Drosophila melanogaster: one gene and its partner. The protein of the gene in region 1 interacts with the protein of each later gene in a pairwise test. Each region holds a gene or a part of one and is shown on either strand. Other genes may lie near its edges. The genes, in order: HP1c and Su(var)3-7.

Region 1 (3,557 bases):
TACAACCATAAGCTGCCACTTAATACGGGACTCATATTCCCCAGGAAGTGGTGTTAAACCGCATATTCTGGTGCTGAACAAAGTCGATCTGCTGGGCGCCAAACAGCAGAAGAGCGTGCTCCAGCAGCTGAGGAGACAGCAGCCCGAACTGCAGCACATCCTGTTCACCAACTGCAAGGATCAGCGCAACAACGGCGTGCTGGACATCCTGCCCCTGGCAACGCGCCTCGTGAGCGAGAGCAGTCGCTTCAATCGCACCCAAGCTGCCGAGCACAATCTGATGATCATCGGCGTGCCCAATGTGGGCAAGAGTTCCGTGATCAATGTGCTGCGAAATGTGCATCTCAAGAAGAAGAGCGCCGCACGCGTGGGTGCCGAGGCGGGTATAACTCGATCCGTCGGCGAACGCATCAAAATCCAAGAGAATCCGCCTGTTTACATGATCGACACACCCGGCATCCTCCAGCCCTCCATTAAGGATGATGAAATGGGCATGAAACTGGCCCTGGTGGGCTGCCTTCCCGATCATATTGTGGGCGAGGATCTGATAGCCGACTATCTGCTGTACTGGCTGAATAGCCACCGCAAATACGACTACGTGGAGATGCTAAAGCTCAGCTCCGGACCCAGTGACGACATCAGCGCCGTGCTGGCGGAGTACGCTCATCGGGAGGAGCTATTCCACAAGGTCAAGCAGTACGACGGACGCGTGGAGGTGATGACAAATTTATTGGCGGCCGCGCGAAAGTTCATTCACTTCTTTCGCTCCGGCCAGTTGGGTCACATGAATCTGGACGAACCCAGTGGTTTCAGATAGCTATACATATGTATGAATTAAACTTAGGGGCTTAGATTAAAGACTGAACAGTCGATTCTGCTCGCGTCCTTATTGATTTTCCGCCATGGGCACATCGATGGCAATGTCGCCAACGCCGGGCACGGGAATCGAGTACGAAACACTAGCCAAATCGTCGGTATCATTGGCTAGATCCATGGGTGCATGGTGCTGCGGCGCCTGGTCCACCTGTGGCGCGATTCCACCAAGATGTCCAGCCAACTCAGCGGACTGATCCACCTCCGGCGGCACTTCGACGGGCGCACTGCTAATGTGCGGATAACTGGTGCGCGAGGCCGCCAAACGCAGCTCCTCCGGCACGCCCTTCATTCGCATCGCAATGTGACGGGAGTAAGGTGCCATCTTCTGGAAATAGTCAATCAGCATTTGCGGATCCTTCTCCACGATCTGTGCCGATGGCACCAAGTCGAACTCGTCGCAGAACTGCCAGCGCACCAGATACTTGATGTCGCCCGTCACATCCGTTGCGCCCACGATCTCGGCCAGCTCCAAGCCGCGCTCGTAGCCGCGCAGCTTCTGGATCTCTTCGCACTTGGGTTTCTTCTCGCCGCGCTTCTTGGACTTGGCGCGCGACTCCTCGAATTTCTGGATGAGATTCGGGCAATCGCAGTTCTCCTCGGGCTCCCAGGTGTTGTCCGCCGACGTGTAGCCACGCCACTTGATGTAGTACTCAACCTTGCCTTCGCTGGTAATGCGCTTGTCCATGATGCGCTCCACCACGAAGTTGGGCTCGTTTTTAACCATTTTTTATTGTGTTTTTACAAGATTGTTTACAATATTTAAAATCGGCTTGGTTTTTTTCACTAGTGCCAGTGTGACCGTTTGCTGACTTCAACAACAGTTACAATAGCAACATACTTCTGACAGCATAGAAAACGGTCACACTCGCACGCGCTTGCAATTCGAATTCAGGTGAAATTTTAAAGCTCAGGTGCAATGGAATCCGAATCCTCGCAGGATGATTGGTCCGCATTCGATCCAATGTCCAGGGAATACTATGACCAAGTGGGCAACCGTTACACTAACGAGTCTGGCCAGAAACTAATCATGGAAGCCCCGCTGCCGCCAAAGGACGAAAAGGAGCAACGTGCCACCAGGCAGGCGAAGTATCCATACTTGGTGGTTCCAAAAAGCAGTCCCTATGTGACCGAAAAGATGCTAATCAACTTCTTCGGTCGGGCGCTCATCAAGGAGATGGAGTTCCGCCGCTTGTCACGCGTATACTTTGTCTACTTTGAAAATATCGCGTGAGTTTCTTCAAGCACTTTCGCAGGTCATTCAATATTTCGAGCGTATAATCCTTTTTCCAGATCCCTGGAGACAGCGCAACAGCGGGTGCAGCGTTACCCGAACCTGATCAAGTGCATCACTGGTCGCCCGCAAAAGGAGCGGGAAATCACCAGCGATCCGGTGACTTCCACTGAGCCAATGCCAACACCAGGCCCAGCAATTTCGGCCACTGAACGTACGCCAGTGAATCACAACAGAGAGGTTCCGATCTCGACCGGAGGACAAAATCATCCGGAGTTCTTCCGGCCACCGCTGGTCACCAAAGATGATTACAAAAGAGGTTCATTGTTGGCCACCAACGACCCCATTCAACGCTATCTCAATGTAAAGTACGAATTCGCACTGGAGCGCCATGATATCTACAAGCTTAAGGATGAGACCAGAATCCCGCAGGTCGTTCTGCACTTTCGTTCGGGCAGAACGATTCCTTTGTTAGTATAGCCACCTGGTCACGTGCCCTTGATTAGCTAACGAGTATAGTTTCTGCATCACTCAGGTCAACGGTTGCTGTCACCGAAGAGGATAAAACTAAAAGCCTGCTGGAAGACGGCGTCAGCAAGTGCGTGGTTTGTCAAAACTGGACAGACACTTTCTGCAAGCTGTGCAAAATGCCCTTCTGCAATGCCTCCTGTTTCGCCGATGTGGCAGAGCAGCATAAGCAAGCTTGCGGCAAGGGTGAGATACTTAACCTTGACGAAAAGGTGGGCCGGAAGTACCCCAAACCCGGCTTGCCGCCGTCTGGATCTAAAGTGAGAATTACTGCATTCGAGCAGACTAACGTGGTCTATGTGCGCTCGGCGGACATTCAGATTGACATCGCCTATTATACAGTTCTCACGGAGGTAATGATGCTGGGCAAAGATGCCTCCAAACTGCAGAGTACGCCAGTCTGCGGACAAATTGTGCTCTACAAGTTCGAGGGACATATGTCGCGCGCCATGGTGCTAAACGTGGATAATATCAAGGAAATCTATGTAGTGTTCATTGATTTCGGAAGTGTTGAAGTCACGCAGCTGGAAAGACTGTATGAATGCAGTTCGTATTTAGCTGGTTTGACCTGCTATCCCGTAGCCGTTAAATTACGCGGAGTTCCCAGGCGCTTTGTGGGTCCCAACATAAGGGAAGTCATGTACGAACTCGACCAGTCCCTAGTTTTTAATATCAAGTACTCGTCACGTGAGTACGATACCAGCAAGGGCATGCAGGTCGTGGTGATGACCGAGATCGATATTAATAGGAGCCTCAACCGCCTTTTCAAGACCATCCTAACTCCTGTTGAGCCGTCTGTCTCGGACTTGGGATACAAAGAGGACGTAAGCCAGAACTTAAAAAAACATCAAGTACACAGTTGTCATTTGCATTTATTCGGTTTCAGTGTCTTCCATACATTCCCTTGCACTGCGGAAAGAAC
Region 2 (8,257 bases), 9.5 Mb from region 1:
TCTGGTGCTGAGACATGCCCTATTCATGCTCAATCCCAAGCAGTTTGAGTATCCGCCAAACGCCTTCACGTGTGTGTCCTTTGCCAACAGTTCCGCGGACAAGGATGTGCCCCCTCCTGCGGGACAACGCCCGCGCACCAATTCAGAAAACTCTTCGATGGCCACTAGTGGTAGCCAGATCGATCGGCAGATCACCTTCATGCAGGAGCGCAATGCGGCGGATTCTTCTGCTCTGGCCAAATTGCAAGATACCCATCGAGTTGCAATGGATGGATACTTGGAGAATGTGAGTGTGCTTTAATATATGAATGTCGTATACGTGTTTCTGTTACCATATTTAACCGTTTATTAAATTATATTTAATTATAACAAAACAAAACTACTTAAATCTAAGCCAATCTTTTGTACATATTTTCTAAGTAGGGTTTTAGTGAGTCAATTCTTAAATACTTTAAAATTTATAACGTAACATTTACTTTCATGATTTTATTACAAAGACCTGTTCCTAAGAAATATTTGTATTGGCCCTTGCAGAGTCCAGAGCTACTCCGATTGGAGCTGAAGAATGCCCAAACTGTAATCAAGATAGCGCGAAGCAAGTTGCAGAGCTACCTGAGCACTGTGCGCCATCATGTGGGAAAGCAGGCGAATGGTAGCGAAGAACTCGGTCGGACACTGGACGGGATTGAAGAGCTATGCAGCTTTCTGGACGTTAAATTCATGTTCCCGCTGCACCAGCGATCGGCGCCCATCGACCAGGCTCTGGAGGCCAACGAGCAGAAGCAGCTAAACACTGTCAGCAAACCGCCAAAGCCAACGGCTTCCTCCACTCCCGCTAACGCACCGGCTGCTCTCTCTGCGACTGGTGGCTATCAGATGCCTGAGAACGCCTTTATGCACAGCTCGATGCGACGGCTCCTCGGGGAACTGCGTGAAATCGAGCTGTCCACGATAACGAGCGATGAGAAACCTGGAAACGCGGTGGTGCAAAACGGATTGCCAGCTGCGGAGCCTCAGCAACGGCATCGAAACGAATCGAGTTGATCGTAAGGTCCACTCCTAACGACTGAAACTGAATTTAGACTTAAACAGAGCAGCCACAAAGTGGATAAACCGGAATTAGTAAGGATTATAATTAAAAGACATAAAGTTTACTATATTTTGGACTTGAATAAGTCCATAGTTTGTAATTTTCTCCATGAAAAATAAAAATTTTTCGGGTATTGGAATGGTTTCGAAACAAATCGTCTTCAAAACATGCAAGTTTCGGAAGCAACAGGTTCGTAGTTCGTTGAAGGAGTAGTGTTCTATGTGATATCTTGGAAGAAGCTCCATCGTTTGTGTATTCTAAATTTTGAACAATTGCTTGCAAGTATTCATCATTAACGTAAAGTATATCTGATTGAGTCGAATTTAAATAATGACAGTGATAAAGTCTTAAGTTACGTTTGATTCATATTTCCTAGGAGCTCTATGGCCTGCGGTTATGGTTCACCATTGTCCGAAATGTTGTGATTTGACAACCGTTGCTGCTGGGACCACCACGCATTATTGGAGTCGAGGACGTTATGCTTGCCTGTGCCTGCTGCGGCTGTTGCATCTGAGGCGTATTAGTAACGGTGATCTTGGAACTGTTGTTATTGTTAACCCGTATCTGCCTGATCATGGCCAACGTGTTACCATTGCTAAGGTCCGCCTGTGGGGTGGATGGTGCTTCCGAAGTGCCACCTTGACTGAGTCGTCCGTTCACGTTGGTCCGACTCTGTGTTGTTAGTTTGTCAAGAGGTACACAACGCACGGAATCCGTCTCGAGGCGGTTGGTCACTTGCGTTTGGTTGGAAGTTAAGATACGGCGTATATTCTCTGGCAGGTCTTTGGCGCTCCCATTGATGGTCACTTGGGCAGAGGAAGCCCCGGTAACTGGCTCTTTCGGTACGGTTTCCTTGTCGTTATTATTGTTCTGCCCATTATTGTATTCATGCGGTGTTGTGACAACCGAGGAATGCAAATCTGCATCGACAGAAGCAAGGGGAGCTGAAATAGGAGCAGGAGGAGTTTTAACTGGGGTCACCGTAGTTGAAGAAGGCCATTTCGAGGAAGCAGAAACTGTAGCTGGGGTTGGAGTTGTCGCATTTCTCTGCATGGCTCGAAGCTCCAAGCTACAAACGAGCTGCATGATTTTCGACTTGCCCTCTGCGGCTAAATCCGGCGGCAGGGACTTCATGGTCGGCGAAATGCTGTCAAAGAAGAGATCCATTACATGTCGTGGCTCCGGTGGCTTAATCGGTGACACTGTCACCGATGGCGGCGCCTGGGCCATAGACTCGTTATGTGCGACCGACTCCCGTTCCAAAGTTCGCAAGCGTGTAACAATATCAAACGACGAGCATATCATGTCCCTGGCCATGTCCATTTGGGAGCGTTCTTCCTGTCGCTTGCCCATTGAGTCGCGAAGGGCGCGTATTATGCGACGAACCTCCATTGAGCGTCGGGACCGCTTCGCCAGCGGTTCCGCTGTGCTGCCATCGGATCTAAGTAGCCATAATGAGTGTGGTTATTAGAAACGCTTAATGAAGGGATTTCGAATTCTAAACTCACCGAACGCTCATATCGTTTTCGCTCTCCTTGTCCATTCCAGACTCCTGCCTTTCCGCATCAACGGTGGAAGTGGGACTAACTGATGGTGCATTGGCGGCAGCGGCGGCATTGGCCCTTTGCCGCTCCTTATTTTCGACGTGCTTACGCGAAGCGTCGTGTTGCCGCAGGTAAAATACCTTGATCGGCAGCCGGCTATCACAAACACGGCAGTGACAGTGATTCTCGTCATTGGCATCAGGATCCAGCCAGTCGTACTTCGCTTGCAGCTCTGCCATAGCCGCTTTCTGTCTAGCCTCGGCGCTGGCCAAAGCCGAAGCTGTGGCCACAACAGTGGATATTTCACCTGAGTTTTTGTTCGATGTTTTCAAAGGGTTGCCACCATTGCGCTTTCGATCAATGCGGAGGCGTATGTGTCGGGAAGTCCTCTGGTGCTTGGAGGCCCACTTGGATGAGGGCAGGTAGAGAGACACTTCGCACAGCTTGCACCAAGCATAGTTTCCACGCTGCTCGTTCTTTTTGTAGGAGAGCCACGGGAAGCGGCCCTTCCACACCATAACCTTGCCCTTCATGGTTGCCGGAATGGGCTTGACAAAAAGCTTATTGTCCGCTCGAGCAGTCTTTCTTGCCTGCACGGTGCCCAAGTCGAAGTTGCTTTGGGAATCTTCTTCTGCGTCCTCCTCTTCTTCTCCATATTCCTCGTCCTGTTCCTGTGATTCTTCATCATCCTGCGCATTATGTTTAGTTTGCGTGTTTGTGCCCTGGTGCAGTTTCGCTTGCCGCATTTTGAACTGCTTTACCAGCTTTACATGCCGGGCACTCAACTCATGCCGCGCCTTTGCCGCTTCGTTGTGAAAGCGCACGCGGCAGAATTTGCAAATCTGAGTCTTTCGGTCCTTGGAGTAGCAAAGCCACGGGTAAAAACGTACCCCAGCGCGAACCGTGGCCTTTCTTGGCTCGCTAGAGGACTTATGAGCAAAACTATACGAAATTATTATTATTAAAGTAAAAATTAAAAATATTTTAAGCAACATACCCTTTTCCGAGTTTTTGGATCTCGGACCAATTGTCATCGTCATTATCTTCGCTGTCATCGGTCTGCGATGACTGGGCTTGATCACTTGCCGCCGCTTCCTCTTCATCCATGTTATCGCCGCCTCTGCCGTCAGCCGAACCAACTTCGATGCCTGCCTTGGCGCTGGCCAAAGCCAAGGTATGCTTCTCGGATTTTTCGTGATTCTTGCGCTTGATCTCTGAGTTTCCATACATGAATCGCTTGCGACAGACGCTGCAGTACCCAATGCTGGGGTCTTCGGGATCAGCAATCAACCAAGGATGCATGTCGGCGAACACGGCCCAAATGCCGCGAATATCTGAAGAGCTGAGGTAAAAAAGTGAAAGCAGTTAAAGAACAGGTGCTATTTACGTTCTGTAGGAGTGTCAACTCACCCCTTTTCAGCGGGTGTCGATAGCATGTGACAATGAGCTCTGGTTTTACAGTGCCGTAGGAAGCTGGTAATCGCCATTGTGCAGTTGCAGAGCGTACATCGGCATTGCTGTGGATTGGTGTCCGGAATCAGTGCACACCACTTGCCAGGGTCGTCGCCTGAGTCCACATCGCCGTTCATCATAACCACAGGGGTGTCCTGAGCATCCTCCGGCCCAACTTCTGGTTCAGATTCCTTCTCTCGCTCGGCCTCATCCCCGCCGCTATTGGTCACGCTGTTGCTCTTGCTCCTCTTTCGCTTCCGACTCCGCTTATCGGAATCTAGGTTGCGCAGTGCCTCCATGTGACCTTTGGTGGTTTCGTGGCGCTTGCGCAAATAGACAAACTCCACGTTCATTCGCACGCTGCAGATGCGACATGTCCCGATGGTCCCTGTGGGCATGGAACGTTCAAGCCAAGGATGCCAACGGAGCCAACGCAGCCAGTTGAAGTTGTTAAATGCCTCGGTCTCGGAGATTCGTTTTTGCTTCATGGCGGCCACATAGCTCTTGGTGCCGAATTCGTGCTTGATTTCGTTGTCGCTGATTCTACGGATAATTGGGAGTTAATAAGTGTTCGCAAACTTTCGGTGATCTCAATATGATTTCGGTATTTCGTTTTTTAAAGGTGCAAATCTTACTAACATTACGAGTAGAGCTACCCTCATTGAAAGCAGGGAGTGTAATATATGTAAAATCTATTCTGAACCGCGACCAAGCCTATCATACACCAGTTTCTTTGTGTCAAACAATTGCTACACGTTGGAAAATTAATGCGGACTCGGAGCAGTGCTCCCTTCATTAAGTTGGCAGTTTTTTTCACACTACAGTGGGCTTTCTGGATTTCGGTACAAACCCTTTACAAAGTGAAAGGCATTTGAAGAGTTGAGCTTTTACTTTATACGGCGGATTAATTAACTTGATTTCTCCGAATTTTAGATTTCTGTACTCTTTTTTGTAATCTTTAAAACTGTGACACTTACGCTCCTCGAGTTTCCTCCTCACTTTTCTTGAATGCCAGATAGTTGCACTCGCGTTCCTGGTGGGAGAGCGACACGTTGTGCTGTTGGATGTGTCTAGAGCGGTTGTTCACGTTAATGGATATGTTGCAGTAAAGGCAGAACGCTAAGGTGCCATCGGAGTCCTCGTGTAGGATCCAGGGCCAACGCTTCATCCAGAGGAGCCAGCGCTGTGCGCGGGGCATCTTGCGGCGCATGCCTCCGTCAACGCCACCGCCATTGCTGCTTTCGTCATCCTCGTCGTCGTCATCCTGGCTGTCTCCCGGATCATGGATTTCAATCCTCTCCAGCAGGCCCATGGGATCGTGGTACGAATGGGAGCTCTCCGCATCGCTGGAGGGTTCAGTTTTAGTGGACATGGCATCGGGTTCACGTTCCTGGTCTTCCAGGAGGGGATCCTCGCTGGCCTGTTTGTCGTCTGGGTTATTTAGAGCGGACTGTAGCTCGGCCACCAATGGAGCATGTTCGTCATCCATGATGTCCTCAATACACGGGTCATCCCGCATCGGGTGCTTGTCCTCCTCCACCACCATGGCCACATCCCCATCGTCATCATCCACCACGATGACCATGGAGGTCTCCACTTCCTCGATGTGATCCGGATCCACCAGAGCACCACCCTCTACGTCCATAATTTTCAGCTCGTGCGTTGCCGACGCTAAAGTTTCTGAATTTGCAGACGCCATTTTGAGGTCTGGGTTGCATTGAGCATCTAGGTTTTTCGCCTGCATGCTCGAATCCCGATCCATCACGAGATACTGGTTATCCAGGCACTTTGCTCTAATATTTGTTAGCTTTTGGGAGATCACAGTATACGGTTATAAACTAAAAAAATAAAAATAATCGCAAGCGAAAACTCAGAATCGCTGTCAAGGCGATGGCCAATGTGACCGTACTGTTGCATTAAACCGGCGGGCTAAGGACCATATACTAAGGAAGTTCAAAAAATACATAAAATGCAACTGAGGGACTGGACTGGTCACTTTATTGAGAACGGTCTTAAAACGTACTGTTCATAGTATAACTGCAATTATTTATTTAATAACTACATGAACATTATGCTTAGAAAGCATATAAAGAAATTACATGCATTAGCATATGATTCATATATCGTTGAATATTTAAAATAAAGTGTGTAGAAACAAACAACCGGTGTGGGTGACAACTCTTACAGCATGTGCAAAACGGGTTATGCGGTATTTCTATGCATGTGCGCACGGTCATACCTCACTGGATTTTGTTTATATTTTGGAAAAGACTACCCAAATGTCAAACCTCCAGTTAACTCAGGAAAAACTGTGAGTATACCAAAGTAAGAGACCAGGGTCTTATGTTCACTGACTATATTCGCCGCCCAGAGATGCCCTACGCTCCGAATACAGGCCACGCCGGCCGTGCGCCCTGCTGAAATATCCTCGACCCAAGACAAAGCCGGAGTACCAGGCGATATATCCGTGGTTGCTCCCGGATGAGACGGATCCGCACTTCGTGTTCTGCGCGGTGTGCGAGTGCAGGCTCAGCTGCAAGAGATCTGATCTGGGAAAGCACGAGGGTAGCATTAAGCACTCGGAAAATGCACAAAGAAAATCATTGCCAGCCAAGGCAAACAATTCGAGCTTCAATGGATCCAGCTCCGGTGCGATGAAGTGGGAGGATACCGAGGACGAGGAGGGTCTACTACAATACGGAACAGATCCCCAAGACGACGAGACAGAAGATGAGGAGGAGGGAGAACTTGACGAAACAGAGGGCGACTGCGAGGACGATGAGAAGCGGACTCAAGAACTGGAAGCACAAAATGATCTCGAAACGGAGCCCGTCATTAAGCAGCAGCGCCGCACTTCGGAGACCGACTCACAGAATTCTGGCATGCTGGATTATCTGCCACTACACGTGACCATCAACGAGGGGCCTCAAAGTCTTCCGACCACTGTCTCCGCCTATCCCACATCCTCAGCAACAGCAACAGTAGCTCCGCCATGCAGGATCACCATTAAAAAAGTTCCAGTGCACAGTACTCCACTCAGTGGGATGTGCCAAGCTCAGGAGATCAATTCCAAGGCCACCATAACGCCTATACACACGACGCCCTCCTATGCTGCCCGCCCGCTGCAATCTTATCAACTGCAACCATTGTCACCTATAACGCCACCGCGCGACTCATTGGAGCTGTTCTTCGACAGCATATGTGCCACCGTCAAGAACTTGCCGCCCAAACTGGCCACCGAGGGTAAGATCCGGGTAATGCAGCTCATTGGGGAGCTCGAGTTGCGTGCTCTTTGCGAACAGGAGGCGCTCTCTGAGGTCGCCGGACTTCCGGATCTCGCGGGAAACTCCAGGTCTGGAGCAGCTGAAGCCTCAGGCAGTGGTCAGCAGAATGCGACAGTGGCTTCTACCACCAAATAAATTCACCTGGACTTTGGAATCGGTTCCAAACCGTGCTCAATACGGCAATTAGAATATATGCTAGTGCTTTCATTTTTTAATTTTGTTAACTGATTTTCATTAATAAAGTTATTTATTAGTTGTTGTAGTGTGGCGTGCATTTATTCTTTAAATCTATCTGATGGTGTTTTTGTTCTATGAAATGGCTTCATTACATTTCATCCGTTTAGAAATTTAAGTGCCCAATAAATGGGCTCATTAAGGTATTAGGTTCGCTTTAATATTTCACTAACTGCATTTCAAAAAGTGTTTTCCTGACCTTGGTTTGCCAGCAAAGTATAAATTGTGAATTTTCTCAGAGAATGATATCACGGAAGAGCTGTAATCAATGGAAACCACTTCTTGTGTGTGGGTAACAATTGTGATTTACTTATTGTGAATGATACAAAGCGAATTCTCTGAAGGGTAAATATTACGCATGTACAATACCATGTGATAAAAAGTTTATCGCATGATAGTTTAATGTATGTTCTGTAGGTAAAGATAGTAAAAATCACTCCATCAGGCGAATTTATCAACTGTAACGAACAAACAACATGTAATATCAGATTGAATCAATCAGAATCAATCAATTGAAAAAATGCCAGTAATTATAAATATAAGTTAATAAATCTTTATTTGTAAAATTGTAAAAAATGATTGAAAACAAGAGTTATCAGTAAGGCACTTAGTTAATTGATATTGGGGAAATATCCCCCTTAAAAAGCTTGCTT

What was found.
Region 2: the proteins of HP1c (region 1) and Su(var)3-7 interact in a two-hybrid assay, tested with the Drosophila melanogaster proteins (one study listed by BioGRID).

Annotation. Positions count from the first base shown.
Region 1 is NT_033777.3:22,743,760-22,747,316, reverse strand, and holds HP1c (heterochromatin protein 1c), read right to left. Parts: upstream 1,698-3,557; 5' UTR 1,601-1,697; coding exon 887-1,600; 3' UTR 818-886; downstream 1-817. Other genes in the region: CG17141 (uncharacterized protein), read left to right, coding at 45-817; vret (vreteno), read left to right, coding at 1,793-2,103, 2,167-2,577, 2,643-3,459, 3,522-3,557.
Region 2 is NT_033777.3:13,262,107-13,270,363, reverse strand, and holds Su(var)3-7 (suppressor of variegation 3-7), read right to left. Parts: upstream 6,001-8,257; 5' UTR 5,849-6,000; coding exon 5,064-5,848; intron 4,630-5,063; coding exon 4,045-4,629; intron 3,977-4,044; coding exon 3,632-3,976; intron 3,577-3,631; coding exon 2,599-3,576; intron 2,532-2,598; coding exon 1,472-2,531; 3' UTR 1,045-1,471; coding exon of another isoform or gene 535-1,044; 3' UTR 326-534; downstream 1-325. Other genes in the region: TBC1D5 (TBC1 domain family member 5), read left to right, coding at 1-286, 535-1,044; ravus, read left to right, coding at 6,366-6,397, 6,458-7,505; CG11686 (uncharacterized protein), read right to left, coding at 8,243-8,257. UniProt on the Drosophila melanogaster protein: Dose-limiting factor in position-effect variegation, the inactivation in some cells of a gene translocated next to heterochromatin. It could play a role in chromosome condensation.